Linked DNA regions of Diceros bicornis minor. Each later gene encodes a partner of the first gene's protein in a complex. Links are inferred from orthologs where the notes say so. Each region holds a gene or a part of one and is shown in the gene's direction. Other genes may lie near its edges.

Evidence for each region.
Region 2: the proteins of RBBP4 (region 1) and PHF6 are in contact, whole or in part, in a crystal structure (PDB 4R7A), measured with the Homo sapiens proteins. The link is inferred for Diceros bicornis minor from reciprocal best matches to the Homo sapiens genes RBBP4 and PHF6. Residues at the interface, in NP_005601.1 of Homo sapiens: Ala39, Leu40, Glu41, Trp42, Pro43, Leu45, His71, Thr72, Ser73, Glu75, Glu126, Asn128, Arg129, Pro145, Glu179, Tyr181, Glu231, Asn277, Phe321, Lys376, Glu395, Asn397; in NP_001015877.1 of Homo sapiens: Arg163, Lys164, Gly165, Pro167, Arg168, Lys169, Thr170.

The regions. Positions count from the first base shown.
Region 1 is NC_080752.1:47,307,905-47,318,464, forward strand, and holds the start of RBBP4 (histone-binding protein RBBP4), read left to right. Parts: upstream 1-6,260; 5' UTR 6,261-6,351; coding exon 6,352-6,367; intron 6,368-6,949; coding exon 6,950-7,097; intron 7,098-10,560. Other genes in the region: ZBTB8OS (protein archease), read right to left, coding at 5,455-5,587. UniProt on the Homo sapiens protein: Core histone-binding subunit that may target chromatin assembly factors, chromatin remodeling factors and histone deacetylases to their histone substrates in a manner that is regulated by nucleosomal DNA.
Region 2 is NC_080781.1:122,303,117-122,313,600, forward strand, and holds the start of PHF6 (PHD finger protein 6), read left to right. Parts: upstream 1-6,230; 5' UTR 6,231-6,378; intron 6,379-10,311; 5' UTR 10,312-10,357; coding exon 10,358-10,484.

The DNA.
Region 1 (10,560 bases):
TGAGTGATTAGGAGTGTCTTTTGCTATTTATAGTGATCCCCTTTTGACTACTCCTGAGTCTGCACTAATGAGGTGACTCAGGGTGGGACCCCTTACAATGAAGCAGTCACCAAGAAGAGAAGATGAAACAGATGATTAAAGGGTGGGAACTTTCAGCCCCATCCCCCACCACCAATGGGTGTGGGTGTGGGGTGGTGAGAGGGCATGGAGGGTGGAGCAGGAGATTGGGTTATAAAAACTCTTCAACTGGGGCCGGCCCAGCGGCGCAAGTGGTTAAGTGCGCGCGCTCCGCTGCGGCGGCCCAGGGTTCGCCAGTCCGGATTCCAGGCACCCACGATGCACCGCTTGTCACACCATGCCGTGGCAGCGTCCCATATAAAGTGGAGGAAGATGGGCATGGATGTTAGCCCACGGCCAGTCTTCCTCAGCAAAAAAAAGAGGAGGATTGGCAGATGTTAGCTCAGGGCCGATCTTCCTCACAAACAAAAATAAATAAATAACTCTTCAACTGGTGCAGCCTCTATGGAAAACGGTATGGAGATTCCTCAAAAAATTAAAAATAGAAATACTCTATGATCCAGCTATCCCACTGCTGGGAATATATCCAAAGAACCTGAAATCAACAATCCAAAGAGGCTTATGCACCCCTATGTTCATTGCACCCTTATTTACTACAGCCAAGAAGTGGAGGCAACCCAAGCGTCCCTTGACTGATGATTGGATCAAGAAAATGTGGTGTGTATATATATACAGTGGAATACTACTCAGCCATAAAAAAGACAAAATTGTCCCATTTGCAACAACATGGATGGACCTGGAGGGTATTATGCTAACTGAAATAAGCCGAAAGAGAAAGACAAACACTGCATGATTTCACTCATATGTGGAATATAAAGCAACACATGGTCAGAAAGAACCGTATTGTGGTTACCAGGGGCAAAGAGGGTGGGGGTGGGCACAAGGGGTGAAGGGAGACATATATATGGTGATTGACAAACAAAAATGTACAACCAAAATTTCACAATGTTATAAACTATTAAGACATCAACAACAACAACAAAAAACAAAAAAACTCTTCAACAAAGAGATTCGGAGAACATCTGGACTGGTGAACTTATCAGGTGCTGGGAGGATGAAAAGCCCAGGGAAGGCATGGAAGCTCCAAGCCCCTCCTCTGGTATCTTGCCCTATGCATCTCCTCTATGTGGCTGTTCCTGAGTTGTAGCCCTTATAATAAACTGGTAAACATAAGTAAGGTGTTTATCTGAGTTCTGTGAGTTGTTCTAGCAAATTATTGAACCTGAGCCTCATTGGGGGGTCACGGGAACACCAGAATTTGCAGTTGGCAAGGCAGATGTGTGGGTAGTCTGGGTACTCCATTTGGGGCTGGTGTCTGAAGTAGGAGCAGTCTTGTGGGACTGAGTCCTTAACCTGTGGTGTCTGTGCTAACTCTGGGTGTCAGAACTGAATTGCTGGACACCCAGCTGGTGTCAGAGAACTGAAGAATTGCTTGCTGTGGACAAACCACACATTTAGTGCCAGAAGTGGTGTCAGAGGAAAGAAAACACACCTTTATAATGTATATATTAATACAGTAGAACATACAAAAATTCAGAGTGTGCAATGAAAAAAGCTTGGAGATGACTGCTCAAGAGGATCAAATGAAAATTATACTAACTGTAAGAGAATTCATAGAGGCAGTGTAAAAACTTAATTATAAAATTCCACAGCTTTCACAAATATAATCAATAACCATAGAGAAAACATCATGGAAGAGAAGATCATTTACATCAGAAACAAAAAAGATGAAATACCTAGAAATAATCTTCTCGGGTTACACAAAATAATATATGAAAAATGGAAAAGCATACGTTATTCCTGGAGAAAAAGACTCATATAAATATCAAAGCTTTAATTCTCCCTGTTTATAATTAACATGACTGAAAAATACCAATAGCAATTTTTTGTCTGTGGTTTACTTTAAAGTAACAGGAAAGGAGGTGAAAAGCAGCAGAATATACCACCCCAAAATATGCCACTTTGGCACAAAGATTACTTTGAGCTGAAGACAAGTGAGGGAAGCAGATACAAAGAACTATTTGCCTAAAAGTAGGACATAAATTTGTAAAGGTGTTCCCCTTTGCCTCTGTATCAGCAAGGACAGAAATTAATCACCAGAGAAAAGTCTAGATCCTTATGCATCCAGAGTCAGCACCAGAGGAATCTATATAATAAACTTAGTAACAGCCCTTAGATTCCATTAGTTTCCCCACATATTTACCTTCCCACAATTTGCTGCCCTAGAAGTGCAAAGCGCTTTTCCTTTGTCTTGTCACTTCTCTACAAAATCACTGTGTTTGTTAAGATGCTATATAAGCTCAAGTTCTAAGCATCCCTTTGAGTTACTCATCACTGAGTACTCCTATGTGTATGTGTGTTGCCCATGTTAATAAACTTGTTTGTTATTCTCTAGTTAATCTGTCTTTTGTCAGTCTAATTTGTAGGGCCTCAGCCAATGAACCTAAGAAGGGTACAGGAAGTTTTTTTTCTTCCCCTACAGGGGAATATGGTGGTAGAGAGGAAAAAAGATAAGCCATTATTTGGTAATTGATGAAGCTGGGCAATATGCGCACAGAAGTCATCATACTATCTGCCTAGTTTTGTACATATTTGGAACTTTTAAAATAAAAAGTTTGGGGCCGGCTCGGTGGCGCAAGTGGTTAAGTGTGCGCGCTCCACTGCAGCAGCCCAGGGTTCGCCCGTTTGGATCCCGGGCGCGCACCAACGCACCGCTTGGCAAGCCATGCTGTGGCGGCGCCCCATATAAAGTAGAGGAAGGTGGGCATGGATGTCAGCCCATGGCCAGTCTTCCTCAGCAAAAACAGGAGGATTGGCAGATGTTAGCTCAGGACCGATCTTCCTCCCCCCCCCAAAAAATAATAATAATAAAATAAAATAAAAAGTTAAAAAAATACCAGTAGTGATTTTTACGGATCTGAGCAAGCTGATTTTTACCTACATATAGGAAAAAAAAAGCAAAAATGGCAGGAAAGGGGCAAGTACTGAGCAGAAGATTGTCCTACAGGATATTAAAAGATAGAATAAAGCCTCGATAATTAAATCTGTGGCACTGACACATGAAGAGAGAGAGAAGAAAAGAATAGAATAGTAAGTCTAGCTACAGACCTAAATATAGGCAGAGGAATTCTATACATGATAAAGATGTTGCATTTCAATCAAAGGGAAAAGACAGACTGTTGAATAAATGATGTTAGAACATCTGGTAAATCATCTGGAAAATAATTAAATTGGCTACTTAGTTTCTACCTTACCCTAATCCTGATGTACTCAAGATTTAAATGTTAAAAAAACACATAAATACTAGGAGCAAGAATAATCTATAACTACCAGGAAAAATATAGTTCTCACAAATATGAGCAAAAAAAGCCAAACACAAAAGGCATACATACTGTATGACTCCATTAATAAAATGTTCAAAAATAGACAAAGCTAATCTATGATGTTAGAAGTTAGGCTAATGCAGGGCCAGCCTGGTGACATAGTGGTTAAGTTTCACGCACTCCGCTTTGACAGCCTGGGGTTTGCAAATTCGGATCCCGGGTGTGGACCTACACCACTTGCCAAGCCATGCTGTGGCAGCCACCCACAAACAAAATGGAGGAAGACTGCCACAGATGTTAGCTCAGGACCACTCTTCCTCACCAAAAAAAAAAAAGAAGTTAGGCTACTGGGAGAAGTAGGGAGAGTGATGGTGATTGGAAAGGAGCATGAGAGGGGCTTCTGGGATGCTGTAATATTCTGTTTATAGATCTGGTTACTAGTTATACAGGTGTATTCAGTTTGTGAAAATTCACTTAGGATATGTGCACTCTTCTATAAATATATTATACTTCAATAAAACTTTTATTTTCAATGTAGTAAAAGAAAACACAGGAGAATTATTTTACAATCTCAGAGTGGGCAAGGCCTTCTTAAGTGTAACATCCCAGAAGCCATAAAAAGAGTTAATAAATTTCACTACATAAAAATAAATTTCTGTATAGTAAAGAAGACCAACAACCCAACAGAAAATAAAGACCATGAATATACACATGCCAGAAGGGAAAATACAAATAACTCCAAACATACTAAAATATGTTCAACCCCATTTATAATAAGAAAAACGCAATTAGTATGACAAGATACTTAAATTGGAAAAGACCAAAAAGTATAGTAAAACAGCAAATTGGTAAAATTGTGAGGAAAAAGGCAAACTCATACAATGCTAGTTGAGTATAAACTGGAGCAACCTCAATGGAGATTGGCAATAATTGTTGAAGTTAAAAATGCATATACTTGACAAAGCAATGTAACTTCTGGAAATTTATTCTACAGATACACTTGCACTTGTGCAAAACAATGGATGTACAAGTATATTCATTGCTGCATTGTTTCTAAGAGCAAAAGAGTAGAAATATCATAAACGTCCATCAACTGGAAATTGGTTAAACAAATTCAAGTAAATGCTAGAACATCTTTGCATGTACACTTAAGAAAATGGTAAGGATGGTTGATCTAGAGTGGAAAACTAGGTGGCAGGGGACCAGAGTTGAAAGACTGACTTTTCACTGCACACCTGTTGTACTTTTTGAATCTTGAATCATATATACCACCTATTAAAAACAAATTTTAAAAATTGTTTTAAGTGAGAGAAAAATGAGCTAGGGAGATATGCAGGGTCCAGCAAGTACGAGCCTAGTATGCTATGGTAAATAGTTGGACTCCATACAGAGGATAATGGGAGATTAGTGAAATATTTTAAGCGGGGAAATAAGAGTTCGATTTGTGCTCTCCCAACCACAGCCACCTTTAGGGATGACAACTTAACGTTTACATAGAACTTTAGATTCTGCACTATACTTTCATATTTATTATCTCATTTATTCCTCAGCTAAAGGAACTAAGATGCAGAGAGGTTATGCGATTTGCCTGCAGTCACTAAGCTAATAAATGGCAAAACCAGGTTTGGGTTTTTTTACTAACACACGATCCAGTTAAAATGCCATGTTAGAAGTTCCCTACTTGGCTCTCCGAGTCCTCGAACCTAGCCACACTCTTAACTATCCCACTGATGGAGATACATGGGGGCGACAAACCCGCAAACGCTTGAAAATATGATTATCTTCAGAATTAAGACACAAGTAAAACTCTCACAAGATACATGTGATTAAGCACATGTGGAAAAAGTTCAAGAGACTGTAAACGTGGGAGCCAAGGTGTCCCAACTCTTAGACCAGGTGGCTTTTTCCTTCAGCATCCCCCAAATAAGCACAAGAAACTACAATACAGGGCGAAATGGGACCATGCCTGAAGCACCTTCTGGGGCAAAGTAGAAGGCGAGGCCGGAAGCCCCGGGCAAGGAGAGGGGATGAGAGAAGTCAGCCACCTACTCACACTCGTACTTCCGATTGACTGGAGGATACTTAGCCTTGATCGCCTTCTGCTCCTCAGTCAAGTTGTAATCTCTAATATCTTCCCCTTCCTGCGCCATGATTGCAGCATTAGACACTCTCCTTCCGCCCTTCATCAGCCGGACTTCGGCCCTGACATACAACTTCCGCTCTAGACTCCGCCCCTAGGCACAGACCCTTAAAGAACCAGGACTCCGTTCTCGGGGACGTACTTTTATACCCTAAGACTTCTGTCTGAGGCTCCGCCGCCTGGAGCACATGCTTAAAAGGCCAAGGCCCCATTTTCTGCGCTGGCTTCATCCATAGTTTTTTCCTAAGGACTAAGGCAATAAATTGGAGGAGTCAGGAGTAGGGGACACTTGAATTAGACACCCCTAGGTTTGAGTGATAGAGGCCTTTTCTCGCCGCCTCACCCCGAGTTCATAACTAGACCTGAAAGCACCCTAGACTTCTTATTTGAGTACTTTGAAAGGGTCCTCAGCTTAACAGCCTTTAAGAAAATGGCTGCCCCCAAGGGAGTGCGGACTAAAACTCTCACGTGACCCCAGGCAGGCGCACTCCCACCAGCCCCGCGCGCGCGCGCGCGCGCGCGATCGAAAGAAGTCGGCTCCGGGCCGTGTGGGGGCAGGGGCGGAGCGCGCGCCTTGGCCCCCTCGAAAAGCGACTCCGCGCGTCTGGATAGGCTGCGAACACGGCTTCCCCGCCCACCTCGCCGTTCGGCGCGCTCCGATTGGTCAGTGTTGGCGCGAAGGTGCGCGAGTCGGCCCTCACGCAGGGGCAGCAGGAAACAATAGAGGCCGCGCGCGCAGAGCGAGCGCCCGCTGCCTCCCCGCCCCTCCGGCAACGCTCGACCCCGGGATCCCCGGCTCGCCTGTCCGCCATGGCCGACAAGGAAGGTGAGGGTGCCGGGGCCGCCCCAGGAGGGCAGGGGATGCCGGGCTTGCGCCGCGGCCTCGACACGGCCTAACAGCGAGGGCAGGCCCGACTCTGCCGAGTGCCGTCCCCACCATCGAAGGCGTGAGGAGGAATCGCCCCGCGGGGCGGGCTAACGGCGCGCCAGCTCCTCGGGAGCGGAGGCCCGTCGCAGCGGCGTGAAGCTGGCGGTGGGGGCCGCGGCGGCGGTTTGCTCCCTCCCCGCGCTCTGTGTCGGTCTGCCCGCTTCTCCAGGTGCTGCCGGCCGCGCTCCCTCCCCCGGGGGCCGGCGCTCGGGCCTCCTCACTGGGGCCGCAGATTGGCGCGTAGGGAGCGGTCTCCCGAGGCCCGGCGCCGTCGCCCGAGCGGCTAACGGAGCGTACGGCCGGGAGGACCCGAGCGCGGTTCCGGGCCCGCGAAGGTGTGGAGGCGTGTTGGTGCCTCCGCCTCGGGGGGATTTAGACACATCCCCCCATTTCAGAATCGGGACTCGGGCCGGTAGCTTTGGAAGTGTTAACTGAGTTTCCATTTGTGTTCGCTAACTTGATTTGTTTTTAACTTTTTAGCAGCCTTTGATGACGCAGTAGAAGAACGTGTGATCAACGAAGAGTACAAAATATGGAAAAAGAACACCCCTTTTCTTTACGATTTGGTGATGACCCACGCTCTGGAGTGGCCCAGCCTGACTGCACAGTGGCTTCCAGATGTAACCAGGTAATAGGAATGCCTTGAACGTTATTTTGTTGCGTCCTCAGTGTAGATTTCTCACGTTGATATACCCTGTTTTCTTCTCGCCAGTCGCCGGTAGAAGGCACGTGATCAAAACCTATTGGTGGCATCTTTTCTAGGCAAAATGTAAAGTTATTTTGTAACTTACCTGATAAGGGGAAAACGTGTCGATGTTTTCTGTTTCTGGTACTGAGTTGAGTAGCCATATTATAGCTAGTTGACCGGGTAATTAAAACATGTCAACTTTCATGAAGTATTGTGATGAATCCAGTTTTTTCAGCAAAACACTTGACTCTCTCATTGGTACTAGCTGGTTAATACAAAGATGAGTATAGACATGGTCCTGCCTTCAAGGAGCACACGTCTAGTTGGAAAGGCAGATATAAACTAATAATTACAGTTATATGTGCTAAGAGCAGTTTTAGAGAGATGCTTAGAACTAACACCTGAAGGAGGGGTGGTTTATGTGTATGGGAGTTTACATGATAAGAAGTTATAATCACTTGTATTTCTTACACATGGGTAGCTTACTTCTAATAGAAGATGTAAAATATTATTTAATTTAGTTTGCGTTTGTTCGGGGTCCACTAGGTGTCACATATCAGGGGGTATAAATTTAAGTAAGACGCCTGCCCTTGCCTTGACTGTGTGTGTATAAAATGTAACAGTAATTATCATGAGTGGCACAGATAAAATGATCAGAGAGAAGAAAAATTACCTCAACTTGGGGTATCGGGAAGGGCTTCCAGGAGGAAGTAACAATGCAAAGATGAAGGTGAATTTAGATAATATAAAGTTTTAGCAAAGCCAGTGTGCCTGTTGGAATGATGAATTTTCTAGTGTGAAACTGCTTCACTCTTCAGAATAACATTTAGAAATTAGATTGTGTGCTAAATAACTAAATTCACTCAAAACTCAGGTCTTCAGATGTCAAGATATTTGCAAAACATGGTTATTAGGCTATTCTTCAGCTCAACAAATAATAGAAATTTGATATAAATTTTATTGGTTAACTGAAGAATGAGGCAGTTACCTTCACAGTGACATTAAAGAAAATGGGGAAATCTATTCTAAGGGTGTTAAACAGAACTGTAATAAATACCTAGACACTTAGGGTTGGAAGCTTCTTTATCATGACCAGCGGTTCCCATATTCAACTGATCATCAGAATTACTTGAGTTTGGGGTAAGTGGAGTCATTTCTGTCAGTTCAGTGATAGTTCAAATGATTTAGGAACCTGTGGCAGAGTACTTGATGAGAAGTAGTTGAATGGTGATTCCAGATTTACTGTGATCATGTAATAAATTATGTATATTGGACCAGTGGATCCCAAATATTGGCCACCCCATACCTACTAAATCTGGAACCCGTGTTCTTAAAAAGCTTCCCATATAATGTAGTGATTAACTAGGTTTGGAAAGCAGTGAATTAGACTCAATTCCCCAAGGCTGGGATCTGCACTATCGTGTTAGTAGCTTTCTACTTTAGCTGATCTAGGTAAATAAACCTTTCTGCAATGTGTGACATTAGTCCAAATACCTTGCTTTTTTCCTTCCTTTTTTTGGTATTTCTACTCACCTAACAATGTTAATTTTTTTAAGATGAGACTTACTTATAAGCAAGTATCCCTAATGCCAGGTGTTTAGTTTTTTGTGTGTTTATGTGTATTTTCATATCTTTTGTAAAAACAAAACACAATTTTACTTCTATAATTCTCTTTTTCCCTACCTCACTTCCTTTGGTTCTTTGTTTAACCTGAGCGTAAGCATTTCTAATTTTCTGTTGACAGCCCACTTTTCTTTCCTCTACTTTTTCTATGTAGGATATATATGGCTGTTACCTCTCTGCAAAGGAATTCCTATTAGTATCTCTAGACCCAACTTCTGGGCTCTTCCTGAATTTTCAGGTGCCTACTGGTGTCTTTGCAGTATCTTATTGGCTTCCCCAACACATGTTCTAAACTGCATGTGTTCTTTCAGTGGAGGTCCCACCCCAACTTTCTCCCTGTCATAGTTGACTTTGGTTTGACGTTTCCTAGGTTTTTCCCTTTCTCCACTTGACAGTCCATTTATAAGCCCTGATGAATTCTACTTGTGTAGCATCACAATCAGATAGAGAGATTGTAAAACAGATTGTTGAGTTCCTCAAGTGCCCAACTCGAGTTTCTGATTCAGTAGGTCTCTACAGTGGGTCTGGGAATTTGCATTTCTAGCAAAAGTTCTGATGTGACGCTGATGCTGTTGGTCCTGATACCATACTTTAAAAACCTCTGCTTTACGCTGTTAGATTAATCCATCTGAGATAACTTAAATGGTGCTGTGTCCCTTAGAAATTTTCCATAGTCCTTTGTCCCCTACAGCATAGAGTCCAGAATTTCTTACGCTGGTATTCAATACCCTAGAGTCTGATTTTAATCTGCTTTCTAGCCTTTTCTCCCACTGTGTTTTCCCATATCCAAAGTCAGATTTGGACTTGAGTCCTAGTTCTGTTACTTAGTGGTTGTGTGATCTTAGGCAAGTTGTTTAATTTTCCTAAACCTCGAGTATTTTCATCTTTAAATTGCAGTAATACTTCATAGTGTTATTATGGTGTTTAAATGATAGAAGGTATGTGAAGTGCTTACCATAGTGTCTGGCACTTTGTCAACCTTCCCTTTTGCTCAAATCCCTTTCCTTGGAATACTGTCTTCCAAAGCTTGACCCAAACTTCCAGGTTTTATCTCTCATTTTGAGAACTGCTCAGGTATCACCTCTTCCATGAACACTTTCTTATTCCAGAAGTAATCTTTCTTATCTAAACTCTTACATTCTTGTGTACTTTTCATATACTATGTATTGACTTGTATTTTAATTGTTTTTGTACGTGACTGCCAAATTGCTCCTGATTTGGGGGTTTGTGGTGTTTTTTGTTTTTTTTTTTTTTTTTTTTGGTGAGGAAAATCAGCCCTGAGCTAACATCCGAGGCCAATCCTCCTCTTTTTTTTTTTGCTGAGGAAGATTGGCCCTGGGCCAACATCTGTGCCCATCTTCCTCTACTTTGTATGGGACACTGCCACAGCATGGCTTGACAACCGGTGCCTTGGTGCGCCCCCAGGATCCAAACCTGCGAACCCAGGGCTGCTGAAGCACTTAACTGCTTGTGCCACTGGACCGGGGTTTGTTTGTGGTTTTTTGTTTGTTTGTTTGTTTGTTTTTTGGTGAGGAAGATTGGCCCCAAGCTTAACATCTGTGCCAGTCTTCCTCTATTTTGTATGTGGGATGCTGCCACAGCATGGCTTGATGAGCGTTGTATAGGTCCGGGCCTGGGATCCAAACCTGCAAACCCCTGGCTGCCGAAGCAGAGTGTGCGAACTTAACCACTACGCCCCCAGGCTTGCCCCAACCCCTTGTTTTCTGAGAACAGGAATCACATCTTAATCTTCTTTGTTCTTCCATAGTGTTTGGAGCAA
Region 2 (10,484 bases), on another chromosome or scaffold:
GGGCAGGCACTATGCTAGGTTCCTGGGGTATAAAAAAGATTAAGACATGGTCTCTTCTCCCAAAGAGCTCACTGTCTAGTGGGAGAGACAGAAGTACATATAATTTCAATATAATGTGGTAAATGATGAGATAGAAGTCTGGCCAGGACAGAAGCAGAGGAGGGGAGCTTCGCCCAATCAAAGGGTAAGTAAAGCTTCTGGGAAGCTAAAGGCTGACATCTGACCTGAATCTTGAAGGCCGCTAGGTCCTAGCTAGTCCAAAAGGAGCTGGAAAGGGAGTTTTAGGAAGCAAGAACAGCATGAATAAAGAAACAAAGGCCTTTTGTCTCTCTATTTCACTTAGAAAAACTGGGGAAAATTAATAGCTACTCTTAAGTGGAATTAAATAAAAACTAGTCCATATTACTGCCTATAAAGCTAGCTCTTGTAGCTAATATTTACTGAGCTCTGTGGGCCAGGAACTGTGCTAAGAGTTTTAGGTGGATTCTCTCATGCAATCTTCAAAAAAGATCCTTGAGAAAGGTACTTCCAACACCTTCAATTTACAGATGAGGAAATTAAGGCACTGAGAAGTTAACCTGAAACCAGGATTTGTGTCCAGGCCATTTGGTTTTCGCCTCCCAGTACAGATTATATCTCATTGTGAATATTAGCTGCCCTCTAATCTTATCCATATATAATTCCTCTAGTTTTTAGACTTATTACTATAATATTTGAGATTAGTGTAGATCTGTCTGATCATGTTTTTTAACCAACAGCCAAAATAGGGCCAAAAGGAACAAAGATGCCAAAGATCACTAGGGACCCAATGGCAAAGCCAGGTATAAGCAAGTGTCCTCACTAAAATATATGTCTAAGACTGATATTGATCAGAATGAAGTCTCTTGGGCACTCAGATGTAACTGATGAAATGCCCAAGTGATAAGTTTCTTTTCTTGTTTTCAGCTTGATGGCTGCAGGTCAGTGGTTCTCAAACTGTTGTGTATGTCACAGTCTTACCTGGGGAGCTTTTTAAAAATATAGTTGCTGGGCCCCATTTCACATCTGTGCCAGAATCACTGCGGTAGGGCTTGGGCTGCTGTCTTATTAACAAATTCCTGGGCCGGCCCCGTGGCTTGGCGGTTGGGTGCACGGCGCTCTGCTGCTGGCGGCCCGGGTTTGGATCCCGGGTGCTCACCGACGCACCGCTTGTCCGGCCATGCTGGGGCCGCGTCCCACATACAGCAGCTAGAAGGATGTGCAGCTATGACATACAACTATCTACTGGGGCTTTGGGGGAAAAAAAAATTCCTGAGATGATTTTGTTTCATTCCAAATTTGCTTCTCCTCGTTCTTCATTATATTCTCTTCCCCATTCTCCACTTCCTACTCTCTTTTCCATTCCCCATTCTCCATGGCCTTTCCTCATTAAATATTTATTGAGTGCCTACTAGAGGCCAGGCACAGAGTTCTATGGGCTGGGGTAGAGCAGCGAACATGACAAAACAAAGCCCCTGTCCTGATGGAGACAGAAAATGAACACATAAACAAATAAATAAGAGCCAGTGCAGCACAGTGATTAAGAGCTTGGCTAAGTCAAAACAAATGTAGATTGACACATGGTTCTTCCTCTTCCTAGCTGTGCGACCTTGGGCAAGTTACTTAATTGCTCAACAGTCTCTTCCTCTATAAAATGGGACTAATAATATTCCCTGCCTCTCAGAGCTGTTGTAAGGATTGAATAAGATAATGCACATAAAGTACTCAGCACAGTGCCCGGTACATTGTCCGAAGTCGGTTAACTCATTATTTTGCAAGCATCAGCATTATAAAGTTTAATTACTTCTCCAATATTGCCATCAATATGTTATATTAAGTTCAGCTTCTGTGTTTATTCAACATTCAACAATGTTTTAGAGATGTCCATGTATCTCTAAAAATTTCCCCCTGCACAGTTGCTAGTTTCCTGGGCAGTTTCTGTACCATACCAAGCTTCAAATTGCTAAAAGGGAGAGACATCAACAACATAGTCCACCAAGGCTCCCAGCACCTCGTTTACGTACCTGAGTAGCTCCATGGCTGGACAGAGTTAAGAATGCTATAAAACCTCACTGATACACTAAGTTAAAAAACAAACAACAACAACAAAAACTAAGTAGAAGAGCATAGGCGACAAACACTGAGAGCCAACATTAGCAGGGGGATCAATCAGATGATATGGCAGTTAAAGGATACATAAAAAAAAATAACTGTCCTTCGTATTTGTTGGCGCAAGAACATTCACATACATCATTATCTGTCCTTGGGCCCCATAACAACTTTGCAAGTAATATTAATCTCATTTGACTGATGTGTAAACTAAGGCTCAGAGAAGTCAAATGAATAGCCCAAGGTCACTCTGCTAGTTAGTGGCAGGTCAGTGATTCAAACCCATGTCTCCTGACACTTATGCAGTGTGTTGTACAAATAAATAGCATTTTATTTTTTTCACAGAAACATTTTAAATGCTTAATCTACCCACTTTAAAAATAAAGAATAAGAAATATAAAAAGTATCCAATATACAAAATGCAAATAGTCTTCAGTTCCATATAAGTGACATTTACTTTTTTTTTGCACTGATCGTGGCTGTAATTTTCCATTTGCTTATGTGATTACTTGATTAAGCTCTGTCTCTGCCGCTCTACCAAAATGGACCATGTCCGTTTTTATCTAACACCTAGTAGGTGATCAATATGTACTTGATGAATGAATGAATGAATGATCCACTGGTGTGGATTATAGCCAGAAGGGGGGTCATAGGCATGTAGGTGAATTTAGTCTTTGGTTTAGGCAGAAGCAGAAATGCCAGCACTATCTTACACGGAGACACTGATGACGGGAAAAGGAATTACTTTTTAATTGCTGGAGAGGATGAATTTGCTTGTATTGGACTTAGCAATTTGAGCTCAAGGACAGGGCTGATCTAAGTAGAGCAGATGCAGTTGCTAAGCAGTTGTTTACAGAGTAGTGAAAGTAGAGAGACTGTATCAATTCTACAAACAAGAAGGGACGGTTTCTTAATGTGTGTTCCTCAACCCAACTGCATCAGAGTATCTGGGCAGTTTAAGAAGGCAGATTCCTGGACCCAGACCTTCAGAATCCCCAGCGCGTGGTGCCAAAATATCTGCATTTTTAACAAGCTCCCCAGGTAATTCTCCCTTCCAAAGTTTAAGAACTGCTGGGCTGGAGTAACAACAGACCAGCAGAGGGTCTAAGACCCTGTCTAGGGAAAAGACTGCATTATAAAGCGAGAAGAAAGGAAACCTACAAAAGAGACTGCAATAGCAGCCAGCGAGCCAGAGTCAGAGGCCTTGTTATGAGCCAAGGAAGGTGAAAATTAAGAACAAGTAAATGGCCAAGAGCGCCAAATGTAACAGAGAGGTCAAGAATGAAGATGGAGAAAAGTCATGAAGATGGAATCCAGATTTTTCTGGTCCTGGACCTGTTCTTCAAGACTGAACTCAAAACATTTCCTCCATAGGGATGTATTCCTGCTCCTCTGGACAGAGTCCATCTTTGTGGTATGTAATTCTGGTATAGCATTTCACCTATTGTACTGAAATTCTGTTTTTCTTCCTCCTTAGACATACCTGTTTTTCTTCCTCATTAGACTGAGAATTCCTTGAAGGCAGGAACTGTGTCTTGTTCCTTTTCAAATCACCAGGGTCTGGCATAATACCTGGCATACAGAAAATATCTGCAATTGCCTGCTGAATGAGTGATTGGAGAGCAATTGGAGGCAAAGAGCACAGTCTGGCAGTGAAGATAGAGGAATCCTATGTGTCTGAAGGCAAATGAGAGCAGGGCAGTCGATGCTGCTGGAACAGGGAATAAGCAGGGAATCAGTTCCTCCAGAGCACAGAAGAGATGTGATTAAAACCACAGCTTTAGCTTTAAAAAGCAGGAAGGACCATTCTTTCTCTGAGTCTTGAAGGAAGCAAGAGAGGATGGGTGTACAAGATAAAGTAGCTTAGCTCATGTGGCCCTACTCTAAATAAGTCAAGAAGTTAAGGCCTTTGCTGAGAGTGAGGTACAAAAAGCGGGATCTAGAGCCTGAAGAAACAGACTGGAATAGTACTGGTGGGAGTGTACTGGTGAATCAATAAGAGATTAAGAAATCCTAGGCTATATCCTCAAGCATGGTTAAGAGCATGTTATCACAATCTGACTGCTTTCTGTAGCCCTTGAAATAACTGGCTGCATCTATCAGTTATGCTAATTGGAACTGGCTGCCAGACCTGGGGCCTGAAACTAACTGGAGTCACGGACCTCTTCCTCTCCTGAACTCTCCTTGCACTTCCTTTCCACTTTTTACGACACTCACCACAGTCCATCTCCTATCATAGCTATTTGTCTTTTCCTTGCTAGACTTTAAATAGTTGAGGGCAAAGGCTGTGTCTTATTCACTGTTGTGTTGTACCTGAGCATACTGCTTTGTAGATAATAGGCAGAGGCTGTCTGTCTCAGGCACACACCTCTAATATAGCATTTATCATACTGTATTTGTTTGCTTGTCTGTTTCCCTTTTCAGACCATGAGCTCAAGGTCAGGGATTGAGTTGATCTATGTCTCTCTCGTGTTTGGAACTTAGTACTTTCACAGATGTTTATTGAATCCAATTTTGTTGAAATGAATGCATGGAGGAGAGAATAAAAAAAAGATAGCAAAATGTGGGGATTTGGGGGGACATCTAAAGAGATGGCATACTGCACAGGCACTCCATTTTGTCACTCGTGTCACACACAATCATTGGTCTCATCCTGACATCAGTAAGTGTGTAAAGCTGGTGGAAATTGAGGCTGGGGGACCTGTTTTCAAATACACTGTAAATGTTTGGAATACACATTCTGGATCTTCTTATGTAAATCTCCAGCTACTCCCTTTCGTGGTACAGGGCCTGCGTGAAAGGGCTAAGGGTCCCGTGGAGCTAAACGACTGCTTTGTCCACGCTTATTAGGTACCTGTTTGTATGGGATACAATGTTACATCGACATGGTCACTGTCTTCCTGAGGATGACAATTTAAGGTTGACATAGCAGGGAAAAATAAAAAGAAAGATGAAACGGCATAGAAACAGCATTGGATCAAAACAATGGAAATCCCCCCCACCCCCTTTACAGGAAAAGTAGCTACTTTAAGGACATCTTTAAATTTTCATTAGTTTGTTAGGGCTTTTTTTTTTTTTAAAACCATTGGCTTGCAGTCTGTGAGCCCAGTAGAAAAATAACAACATCTGACCCTTACATGGGGCACACTATGTGCCCAAGCATTAGTCTATGTGATTTAGATATATTAACTCATTTCTCTTAACTCTATGAGATTGATAGCATTGTGATCTCCATTTTGGATGTGCTGAAATTGAGGGACAGAGAGGTAATGCGACGTGCTCAAGGTCATAGAGCTAGAAGTGGGGGAGCTGGGATTCAAACCCAAGCAGTCTGGCTCCATACATCAAAGAGGAAAGCGCCCGTTTCGGTGTCTGATTTACCTCTGTGAGTTATAAAGAAAATCACTTATCTTTTCTGATTATGATAATCTCAGCATTTATAGAGGGCCTGTTATATGCCAGGGACGCTAATACATGCTTTACTTGCATCATCTCATTTCTTCCTCACAATAAACCCGTGAGATACTATTTTTATCCCCATTTTAAAGATACAAAAAATTTAAGGTGCAGAGATTAGAACGATTCGCCCAAGGACTGAAATCCAGGCAGAGTGACTCTACTACGAGCTCAGTCTTTCCTGGCAGTAAAATGAGAGAACGGAGGACCTCAAAGGGATGCCACGAGAGTACAATGAAATAATGGATGTGCAAAGGCCTCGGTGAACAAGTGCAAGGGATAAGGCCTACCCGTTTGAATCACTGTTGAAAACTGGTTCCCCAGGGCCCCTGTCCAACGGTTTCTAGTTCCAACCCTGCCCCTTCTCCGCCCAACCCACAGCGATATCTTTGAATCTCTTTCTCTATCTCCTCGGATCCTGCCCCCAAACACTTGGCTGAGCGGCGGACCGGAGAATAGAAGGTACGCGCGCGAGCAGGAGGCGGGGCCTACCTCCCGGATCCGTACTGGGGGCGGCCTCTGCACATGCGCCGTTGCTCTGCGGCGTCAGTTGCCCCTTCCCTACAGCCAATCAGGGCTCGCGGCGCGCTCGGGACGTATTAACGCCGTGTGAGTCGTTGCGTGCGAGGGGGGCGACGTAAGGGCGCTCGGCGAGCCCGTCTCTCCTCGAATGAAAGGAAACAACCTCCGGCGACAGAGCCCCGCTCCCAGGCGCTGCCGGAGAACCGAGACCGACTTCTTTCTCTTTCCCCTCATTGGCGCTTCTCCCTTGCCGTTCGCCTCTGGGCCCCGCCGGTGAGTCCCCACAGTACACTGGGGCCCCCCATTCTCTGCCCGGCGGGAGAAGACAAGGAGGATGGCGGTGGCCAGGCCGCCGCCCCTGCCCGTTGTTAAGGGGGACTCTTGGTGGTCTCGCTTTATTGTCAGAGACCCCAGAAGCACCGCTCATTGAAGGCGCTTGGCAAAGAGGCTGCTGAGAAAAGTGCTTTGGAGGAGCTAAAGGAGAGGTTAGGCTTAAGCCTAGACTTCGGGGGAGGGGGCGCAACATTTAGGGAGGAAAAAATCCTGGGGATTTTTAGTCTTTGCCATTGCTTAGGACATATTTGGGAAGGAGGGAGACTCCCAGTTTGGGAAAAGTAAGAGGAAGAATTGTTAGGATGGCAAGAGGGTTAGCCTTACGGAATGAGGAAAAACTCCGGGGTGGGGGGAATGAGGGGTGAAACTGAGATATGAAACGAAGACTATTAGAGGGCGAACTCCTGGGGGAGGGTTAAAGAAAGTGGTAGGATGATGTTTTCCTGGATTCGGGAGCATTGGAAAAGGACAATTAGGGGACCCTGACTTTACGATCGAAAGGAACCTGCTAAAGTGTTTTAGAGAAGATAGTTTTGCGAGTTTAGCGCTTGATTAGAGGGAGATCTTGGAGTCTAGTGTGTTTTGAGGAATAAATAACGGAGAGGATCTGGTACGTTATGTGTACCATCCTTTATTATATGGACGAACAGCACGACATTCTTTTGAAATTTGTTCGTTTCGATATTCTGCGTGGAACTTGAAAAATCCTTTATTTTTGAAAAGCCTTTTCTTTTCATCGGCTTACTACGTAATATCAGGTCTTATTCATACAGTTCAAATTCTTTCTCTACCCTTGGGTTTTTGAAACAACTGGAAAATTCCTTCAGTTTCCTTTTGAATAACCGCAAAAAGCAGTGCGAAGCATGTAATATTATCGTGCAACCAAATTCAGGTGCCCTTCCGGTTCATCTCTTATTCGTTTATTTCTCTCCACTGTAACTTTCCTGACAGAAATACTGCTTGTTTGGGGATCACGTTTATAAATTTTGATCTGTATATTTCAACTTGCTTGCGTGTGGAACTGTTTGATCTTCCGGAACTGCAGTTTTTGTTTTGTTTTGTTTTGTTTTCCTGTGAAAAATGGTGTTTCAGATACCAGGCATTGAATGAGCTCTCGAGTGTGTTCTTGAATGCTCTCCTTGATGTTTCAGGTTATTTCTACCTTGGTGCTTCACAGCATCTTGGAAAATCAGAAACGTGTTGATCGCTTCAGCCTAACCGAGCTTTTGTATTTTTTCAGACATTTAAATTATGTTTTTCACGCTATCTTTGCCTCTTTATTTCTGCTTTATAACATTATCCGTAATGTTGTGTTTCTTTTAAGGAAAAGGTTTTATTGTTGGGTGAAAGCATCAAACTTTGATCTCTGCATGCCCTGAAAAACCTTTTAGACTGAAATTAAAATGCCATATTGAATCATTATGAACCCCTTAATATTGGTCCTTGGAATGCCCTTATTCTCCTTAACGAGAGACCACAAATGTGACAGCATTAGATAAAAATCTGTATTTTTATGATAAAGACATTTTTGCTAGGAGTCATTGTTTCCATGATGTTCTCCACTTCATGTTTTACAAGGAGGCTGTAAAAAAATTAGCAAGATATGCACAGATGCATTATTTGAATTTTAGTGGAAAAATCCATTTAGTCATTACACATTGAGGAAAGTTTTTAATTCGTTTGGTGCACTTTTTTGTGTTTCTGTTCACTTTACAAATTATATTTAAACTAATTACAGAAAGAAAGAACACTAGAATATTTTTTGAGTGCAAAATAAACTGTACCTTTTTTCTCTTTTAGATTTTGGGGTCGTTGATACTCAGAAAAGCAGGTTCTCAAAATTAGGATGAGAAATTTACCTGTTTATAAATTGAAAAGAGGCAGAATTCAATATGGATAGAATTTTGGGGGTACCATTTTCAGAATTAATTTCAAGAATAAAAAATGATTTTCTACTGTAGCAATTTTCTTTATCTTAAGCCGGTTTTATAGCCCGTCTAGGATTGTAGAGATATTACACTATTAAAGATGTCTGTATAGGTTAGATTCATAATGTGCCATCCTTTCAGCTGGCCAAGGATGTCCCAGAAAGATGCTGGATACATTACAGTGGTTTCAGAGTGCTTACTATTCATTGCATGGTAGTAAAGAAGGCTAATTTAGAACTCAAATAGCAAATTTTGGTGCTATTTATGAATTTTGGTGTTTTGCATAGTTAATTCTAAAGATTTTGGCAGCTATATTCTTGATAAAGCAACTGAACACATATTTGCCTGAGCAAATGCAAACACAACACACTTCCCCTTTTGTTTCTTTTGTTTCTCTGTTATGTCTTTTTTTTTCTTTAATCCTAAAAGTATTTGCTGCCTGTTTTCAATCAGTTTCACGGTTTATAGCCGGTGCTATGAATACAGTACTGTTGTAAAGTCTCCAATGCCATTTGGAAAACTGAGGTATTTAAAATTGTAGACAGCGTTAAGTTTGTTAAACCCATGAACGCAGAGACTGTCAGGGCCTTTGAAGTTTCGTTAAAAAGAAAAACTGAGATATCAGTTGATGAGAAGACCTGTTTCTTTGTGACTTCATGTTAAATTTTAATTATCTACATTTTTATATTATAAAGCGCTGAATGGTTTACAGCTACCACCTTGCTGGCATCCAGCTGCTACTGTTCTTGTTGGTGAACAAGTGCTACTCAGAAAGCTACAATGTAGCGTTAGTGAGTCCATATTTTCAACATAGTATTATGAAAATGTTCAAATATATGGAAACATGGAAGGAATTTAGTAAATTTTAAGACAAAAATTTGAGATTTTATTGATTGTAATGCGTGTTGTGGCAACCTGGGTCCTGAACTGCATAGTACTGTTGATTTGGGAAAACTACACAAATCAAATTTTATATTTTTTTAGATTCTTCTGAAGAATCCATGTTGAGAATGATGATCTAAATCTGAAACCTTCCATGTTAGAGCTTTTCTTCCCTTTTTTTGTTTGACTATACCACCTATAATTATAATTTGACTAAATTTAAGGCTCATTCAGAGAAATTTTCCTTCCTTTATACAATATTACTAATTTAAGTATGAAAGTGACTGCATTTAGAACACTACTCTTAATTTGTAACTTTAGTTTGATAAACTGATTCTCGGAGGAAATCGCAGTCAGATAATATAGTTGTTTTTATAAATAATTGATTCCTAAAGTCGATGCTTTTGAATAGACTGTTATAAGCTTATTTTTGTCTTTACATGAAAAAGGAATACAATAGCAAAAATTAATTTATTAAAGACTTATACGTGATTTTTTTTTTAACTTGAGAATAATTCGAGTTTTAAAAATAAGTGTTCCAAAGTCATGGTTAAGTAAATTCATTTCTCTTTTGTTAGTTAATTAATATGTGAACTTTGAGGAATTATGCAATTATAGAATTTTGTTCACTCTGGATATTGTGTAGTTCCCTTAGTAGTTTTTGCTCTGCTCTTAGGTATATAATTCTTTGTCTCCTTGAAGGGGCACTTAGCTATATGTGAAAAATATTTTTCATTAATTATGTCAGCAGATGATTGTTTTAATATCATACATTGTACATTTTTTATTTATCTACGCAGAAATAGTTCTAATTATTTTATGTATCCCCTAATTTGGGAGCAGTTTGATTTTTTCCCATTACTTCATTAACTTATCTTTATGCATACATACATATTTTTCTATTTTGGAGGCATCTTAGGTTTAAATATTAATTTGTCTATACTAAATAGCCATTTTAAAATGCATATATTAAAACTTAGGTCAAATATTAACTTACATGACTATGTGTAAACTGGTTTTAAAACAAAATTAACCATTTTGTTGCCCTTCTTATTCTCTGTAGCATTTCTTGAGGCTTAAAGTGGCATTCTAAAGGCAATTTAAAAATCATGTCAAGCTCAGTTGAACAGAAAAAGGGGCCTACAAGACAGCGCAAATGTGGCTTTTGTAAGTCAAATAGAGACAAGGAATGTGGACAGTTGCTAATATCTGAGAACCAGAAGGTGGCAGCACACC